Nothobranchius furzeri: one gene and its partner. The protein of the gene in region 2 interacts with the protein of the main gene of each other region in a pairwise test. Links are inferred from orthologs where the notes say so. Each region holds a gene or a part of one and is shown on either strand. Other genes may lie near its edges. The genes, in order: pdlim7 and phf1.

Region 1 (3,827 bases), on a different chromosome or scaffold from region 2:
GCTTTAGTTCATAGAAACACGTTCTATGCCCAGACTGTAGTGACTTGTTATTTATAATGTTATAATTGATATTAAGTGAATGCACAAAACCCAAAGATAATAGAAAATACGATAAAATAAGCCTGAGTATTTTCTCCCACAGCTCAGCTCTGATATAAACAGATGTCTGCTTAAACTGGACAATATCAAATATAAAAAGTATTCACAAATAACTAATCTTTTAATAAAAAATAATAGTAATCATTTTTTATTTTAATGTAGATTTTATTTCATTTCTAAGGTTTGGATGTCTGTGAACATTACAGAATATTCTGATTGGTGTAAAGAATACATGATAATAGTATTAACAGGTCTGGATCTAAAGTGAGTCGGTCTGAGGTATAAAACTCTGCCCTGAGCCTAAAGCCCTGCAGATATATTTAGTTTCTATAAACATCAATAACAAACAAGTAACAGCAGCTTGATTCAACTTTGTTCCTTAAATTGAGTCACATAGTTTTGCAAGTTCTGTACACTCACACACTCAACAGCAGCTCTGCAAGATGATTGGTTATTTTGGTAACTAGTGACATCAGTACTGTTCTGGTACTGAGCAGCATGAATGCATCAGAGGATTTCACTACAGTCAGTGAAAGCTTATTACCATGCTGCAATTCTAACATTAACATAAATTAAGAGTTTTATCAAAATAAGCCTCTCATAACGGTTTGTTAACTGAAAGTAAATGGTTTGTTGCTGATTAACCCACATAACTAAGTAGCTCAAATCAATATGTGGCTTTTAACAAGAAGGATAGAATGGATGTTATTGCTTAGCTAGACTCCAGGGGAATAAGGACAAAAACCCAGATTAGAGTCATTATTCACCCTGACCTGAGCTTCTCTGGACATATTGAGGCAAAACCTAAATCAGCGTTTTATCACCTTCATCAAATATCAAGAGTCAGAGGTCTCATGTGCAGACCAGGCTTAGAGAAATTCATTCATGCTTTTATTTCTAGTCAGACTACAGCAAAGCAACCGCAGCTTGTTCAGAACGCTGCTGCTAGAGTGTTAACAAGAACTAAGAGAACGGAGCACATCACTCCTGTTCTTAGATCCCTACACTGGTTACCAGTAAACTACAGAATATATTTCAAAGTGCTCCTACTAGTTTATAATCACTCAATGGCATCAGACCAAAATACATGTCAGATCTCATTCTGTGTACACACCCAATAGGGCTCTGAGATCCTTAGGGAACAATCAGCTGGTAGAACCTCGGGTCAGAACCAAACATGGTGAAGATGCATTTAGCTACTATGCTGCTCACATATGGAATCAGCTTCCCCATGACCTCAGATCTTCCCCAACCCTAGTGCTGTTTAAAACTAAACTAAAACCCTAATGCACTCATCAGCATTTTGAAATCATTGTTTATGTTGCATCATCTCCACTGTAACCTGCATGTAACTTTGTCTTCTCCTTTAGCCCTAAACTGTAATTCTATCTGTGTGTGTTTTAATCTGTGTTTTTATATCATGTCCTGCTAATTGTAAAGCACATTGAATTGCCTCTGTTTTAAATGTGCTCTATAAATGAAGCTGCCTTGCCGTTATTTCAGAGTGTAGTTAAACACGTCTGCCGCATTGCTGTGGGCATGCATGCTGTGAGCCTGTGTCATGTTTTTCATCTACTGCAATGTGTCGAAAGTCAGTTTATTCCGTACATTATTTATTTTGGCTATTGTGAATAGCGTGTGTGCTCTTCCATTATACTGTAGATGATTTGTTTATTTTTTGAGGTAGGAGTGGAGGCTCTGATGTGAACTGCTGCTTTATCAAAGCAGAAGCCAGTAACCCGAGTCCTCATATTCTGAGTAATGCCTTCAGCTCTGATAAACATTTTGCTGCCTCAGCATCTTGAAGGGATTGTACAGCTCTCACCCCCCCCCCCCCCCCCCCCCCCCCTTCAGAGTGAGCATTATAACCCAACACTTTCCCAGAGTTCTCATGATGAAAGAGTCCGGCAAAGCAAGTCAAGTATTAGGAGCAATTTCCCCTCGTCCTAATCCTCCCCTTAAACTGTGGGAAGGAGCTGCTGCTGCACAGTGAACTCCACACATCCCCGCTAGAGGAGCTTGTCAAAATTAGTGCAGCTTCATCCCTCATCACCACTTCATTTTGGGCACTGGAGTGGCTTTGTGTTGGGAGATTTCATCTTTTAACTGCACAAAGTCCAGGCTGCTTCATATTCTGTTCATCAGAACTTCCTGTAGGGAACAGATGTGAGCAGAGGTCACAGAGACGTCTCCACCTGATCATTTGATAAAACAGATTTTGAATGTGAATAATCTGGTTGTATTTCCTCTGCAGACTATGAAAAAATGTTCGGCACCAAATGCCACGGATGCGACTTCAAGATTGATGCCGGTGATCGTTTCCTGGAGGCCTTGGGCTACAGCTGGCATGACACATGCTTCGTCTGTGCTGTAAGTCATTTTGATAAATATCCTTTCTTTTGGGCTCTCTTTGGCCTGTATCTCTTGTGTCTGTCGCAGTACACCTGAACAACCTGCCTGGTACTGGGAACCACAAGCTTCCATTTCTCCTTTAACCCCTTACCTGCTGTACACCTGTTTCTCTGTGAGGAGTGAATACAATCCAAATAAATAATGACTAGGTCTGGTCTGCTGAAAACTGTGCAAATTCATGTAGGCACTGGTGAAGCCTGATATCTGCTCAGTCTTGGTTTCTCAATCTGTTTCTCTGTCTGTCTCTTTTCATCGTTAAAGCTCTGCCAAATCAACTTGGAGGGGAAGACGTTCTACTCCAAAAAGGATAAGCCCCTGTGCAAAGGCCATGCTTTCGCTCAAGTGTAAGAGAGCCAGCTACATCTTCAGAGGAAGAAACGCTTCTCCCTCCACCTCCTTTTTATCCCTCCCCACCCTCTGACAAACTCTACACCTCCCATTTTGCCAGCCTCAGAGTTCAGCACAAACGTCTTTCTTCCACGTTGCAGACTTTTTTGTACTCAAGACTTATAGCATTATCCACTTTTATGCTTTTTGTGTATCACTTTTCTCACTGCAGAACCTTTGCTGTTGAGAAGAAACATGGTGGCTGGGTTTCTGCTCAAGTGGACTCCCTCTTCACCAAAAAAAAAAAAAAAAATATATATATATATATATATATATATATATATATATAGTGAAGAATTGATCCTCTTAGATCTTAAACCTAAATAGGTGTAGAAATCATTACACTGTCAGATTTGAGTGATAAATGAAGAACATTCACAATCCTGCAATGAGACAAATTCATTGAAACTGTGTGAAATATTTAGGTGTCAAACCATCCCAGTGGCGTCTCTGGCATAATTTGATAGGTGGGGCACAAAAACACCACAGCTATGACACACACACACACGCGCACGCACACACACACACACACACACACACACACACACACACACACACACACGCAACTAATTTATGCATGCAATCTGACTTTGATCCATATTATAAAAACCTCAAAAACAGCACTAACCTACACAGTGGAGATACAAATATTTAAATTCAATTCAACAATATCCCTTTCAGATATGAGATTGCAAATAAAGGGTCACTCACCAGTGTTTACTTCTCCAACAGGAAAGATGCGCTACGGTCTTTCATCTGAACACACTCCTCAATAACTCAATAATTTTAGCCATTCATCTCTAAAAGTTTAGACATTCTTGCTTTAAAGTCTATGAAGCATTCACAGCTTATATGCTTATGTGAAGCTTTCATAAACACCTTTGGGTGGACAAGTTCTCATGTCCAAATGACTAGACACAAAGAAGTAT
Region 2 (3,827 bases):
AGGAAAATAAAAACCAAGAAAACAAAACCAAACAAAGTTCTTAAAAAATAAAATGTAGGTCATTTATCCCACTACACATTTGTACCTGTATAAGGCAATAATTTATCAGCATGTAGTATTTATATAGTTGATACAATTCAGATCATCTTCAAAACTCCATCCCATGCCCAGGGACGTATCTAAGCATTTTGGGGGCCGAGGCAAAATAGACCCCTGCCAGGTATTTTAAGTTGAAGTGCTATCTGTTTTTATATTAAGACTTTTTAAATTTGCAATAAAGTCCAAAAGTGAAGAATTTATGTTATTTATTAATTGATTGTTCAAGCTACCTCACAGATTAAAATAAAAAGTGAATTAAATAAAAAATAAGGAACATTATGGAACTGTTTCTTCCTTTTCTTTATTTATTTATTTTTTATGTATCAAAAGTATCGGATCGGGACTCTGTATCGGCAGATTCTCAAAATCAAATGACTCGTACTCGTACTCGAGGGCAAAAATACCTGATCGGGGCATCCCTAGTTGTGTGTAATGAATCTAATATATATGAAAGTCTAATGTTTATCAGTACATTACAGACAATAATGAACTTTATCACAATATGCTAATTTTTTTTAGAAGGAACTGTACATAGGAATTTATAAATGAACAGTATAAAGTGAGAATAGTAATATAACAGTGCATTTTAATGCTGTTATCCAGCTAGAGGTGCACGTTCATGAACGAGAGGCATTGATTTTGGCTGTGAATACAAAAATGGTGAGAAAAAATGTGAGATACACTTGTGAGCCTCTAGATGGTGACACTGAGAAAAAAATACTCTGGGTTGTAGCTTTAATTGAAATGTAAGTGGACCTGGAAAATATGTTTTATAGGAATGCAAAAAATACATTTCTTGTTATTGTGAAAATAAATACCACATAAATATTTAAACAAAAGCATTCAGTAGTGAGCTGCAGTGAGCCACACTCAGGTATGTTGTATTTATTTATTTTTTTCCAGTGTTGTTAAAAAACATAAGATAAGAAATGATCACATATCAGTAATATTTCAAAACAAAGTGTTGTGGTTAACCTTCAGCTGGTGAAAAAAAATAAGAATAAATAATAATATTAGAGAACAAAGCAAAAACAACCTGTACAGACAGCCCTTACCACATGTTAAGCTCCTCCTCCGACTTCCTGGAGTTGTAAAGGTTGGCTCCTCCCATGTAGCCATGGCAACATGGCAGCAGCTCAACAGGGTTGGCAGTAACCGGGGGTTGACAGGTCTGGGCAGAGGGGAGACACAGGGATCAGCTGGTGTCTGAACCAACATCATCAGTCCCTCCAAAACTGTTACCTTTGTGCTCGCTCGAGTGTCAAGTTCAGGTTTTGGGGTATTTTGTGTTTTTTGTAAACTGTCCACAGCCCAAAGGGTTAGTGAGGAAGCTGCTGCTGACTCATACAAAGTAAAAGCATCACCTAGGAGGTGGTCACCACACAGCAGCACACCGAGCCACTTCTGTAGCATGGCGGTTATGATGGGAGATTATTAATCAGAGGCTTCGGTTTATGTCTGCACCTTTAAACAGAGACGTTCTGTCAGAGTAGCGCTGTCAAGGTGCCAGCGCCACCTGGCCAAAATGTAATTGACTGCAAAGTGCACTTGGAAGTGATCCCAGACTCCGCATATCAGCATTCTTACCCATCTCACTTTCCTCAGACCTACTCCTCCAAGACAGACTGAGATTAGCATCCGTCAGAGGAGAACAATGGAGCTTGGATGAGCCAAAGTGGAGAGAAAAACAGGAGCAGTGCAGAGCGTATTGTTCCAGGATTTCACTACGTGCACATACACAGATCAGAGCGATGTGTAGGAGGAACAAAGCACGACGAACGTTCACGCTTAAGAATGCAGAGTAAAAATAGTAACCAGCACATGTGAGACTGCTTGTTTCAGAGCCGTCCGCTGGGAATCGGCTCTGATGATGCTGATAAATGTGTCGTTGAATCGCAGGTGTTGCTGAAATACAAGAGCAGGTTTTAGCAAGATTGGATCTGAATTATACATTTTAGCGGAGCGCCACCACGTTTCTCAAAGCTACTTTTAATCTATTTGTGTTCTCTAACACATTAGCAGGCTTTAAGGTTCCTGCTGGGAGGAGAGAACAAACACAGAGGCAGCGGAGTGTGAAAGGAGCAGCAAGGCTGAAGGAGACGGCTCTGTGAGAATGACGGGTTATTTGGGTCACACAAGGATGTTTACCTGGGTGCATTTAAAAAAAATAAGAGGAAGAAAATGTAAGCCAGGAATAGTGGCCCAGACCCCCACCCCCCTCCTCCTGAGACAGAGGCGCTGACCTGTGTCTCCATGATGCGACGCTTTGATTTACGAGACTCCGGCCCTCCAACTCTTCTCTGGCAGGGTAGTGACAATGGGCTGAGGGGAGAAAACACACGCATACATTAGCAAACACCTTCCTCTCTGGATGGGTTTGATTTCTCATCATGGCTGCATGAGGGTCTGCTGATGGTGGTTCTAACATGTCAGGGTATTTCCTTTGATCTGTTGAGGGTCTGACCTCATGAGGAAATTACTATGCAGTGATTTTCTCCAAAATGACTGTGCTTAAATTGCTCTGAAAAGCAAATAATCACATCAGCGCCAAGAAACTTCATTTCCCATGATGCTTTGCACACGGAAGCATTGTGATGACGTCACCGCCTAGTACCAGAAACACGTTCTGCGCATGTGCGGGAAGCCGTGGAGTTTTCCCGCAAACTAAGACCATAAATCTTCAGCAGAGACAAAGAAACCTTGTTCTTTTGCCCAGGATACCTGGCGGTGAGGACACGCTTGTCGAACGCTCCGACTTCTTTGAGCACGCGGAAGCTCTAAGTGCCAAGTTGAGCCACGGAACTGCTGGAAACTAAACTGCAAGCCCATCAGATCTGCTCGTTTCTGCTCCCCTCCAGCTGATGTTTGAGGACACAGAACTGCGGAGGGAAACAACAACTCCATCCAGCTCTCAGAAACGCTGTAAGTTGTCAAACTCAGCCCAAAAGGAACTTCGTTTTCTTTGTGTCCAGCCGTGGAGAAACACTCGTGGAGCCAAACAACGGAGAAAGCATCAAACCGGCGGATGACGCTGAAAGCTGCGGAGAAACACGGAGAACCGTCAAATCAAAACAGTGAGGGACGCTTCACTGTTCTGGTGATCAGAAACTCATCTCTTTCTCTCATTCTTTCCTTCTCCCGTTTCCTCTATAGTCTCGAATAAGCAATAAACCGCGTCTATTGCTTAAAAGTAGCTTCGTGTTTTCCTCTTTCGTCCCAAACACGTCCGTCGGGTCATTTTGAAGAATAAACTGCTTATTGATCATTGTTTGGTATCTTAAAATGGTTTCTGTCATGGCCAGGCTGAAACTAAAAGATATTAATTTGTGATTAATCTTTTGTGTTGTTTCATGATCTTTTGAAATGTTTTGAGTGATTTAAGGTTAAGTTACTACTGATTCTAAGTGCTTTGGAAGTTAAAGTGCAAGTTGCCACCCACACTTTAGCCAGACAAAGGGGTCAGCCATCTTGTATTCAAGACTCCATTTTGAATCCATACACACGCACACACACACACATACACACTACTCCTTTGTGAGAACAAAGGACCCCATTCATACATCCTCCATCACATGCAAACACATCCATCTTCAATCATATCACACGGTTATTATTCATCTATTCCACTGTTTATTCATTTGACAAATTGTTAATTAAATGTTATAAAATTCAGATTTTTGTGTCCAGTAGCTTTGTTGTGTCGAAGAGAAGTCTCTGCTCCAAGGATT

Evidence for each region.
Region 1: the proteins of phf1 (region 2) and pdlim7 interact in binary tests that used the Homo sapiens proteins (3 or more experiments, as listed by UniProt). The two-hybrid records come from large-scale screens. The link is inferred for Nothobranchius furzeri from reciprocal best matches to the Homo sapiens genes PHF1 and PDLIM7.

The regions. Positions count from the first base shown.
Region 1 is NC_091741.1:103,108,733-103,112,559, reverse strand, and holds part of pdlim7 (PDZ and LIM domain protein 7), read left to right. Parts: intron 1-2,353; coding exon 2,354-2,469; intron 2,470-2,772; coding exon 2,773-2,859; 3' UTR 2,860-3,827. UniProt on the Homo sapiens protein: May function as a scaffold on which the coordinated assembly of proteins can occur. May play a role as an adapter that, via its PDZ domain, localizes LIM-binding proteins to actin filaments of both skeletal muscle and nonmuscle tissues.
Region 2 is NC_091745.1:62,283,496-62,287,322, forward strand, and holds part of phf1 (PHD finger protein 1), read right to left. Parts: intron 2,422-3,827; coding exon 2,343-2,421; intron 1,271-2,342; coding exon 1,155-1,270; intron 1-1,154. UniProt on the Homo sapiens protein: Polycomb group (PcG) that specifically binds histone H3 trimethylated at 'Lys-36' (H3K36me3) and recruits the PRC2 complex. Involved in DNA damage response and is recruited at double-strand breaks (DSBs).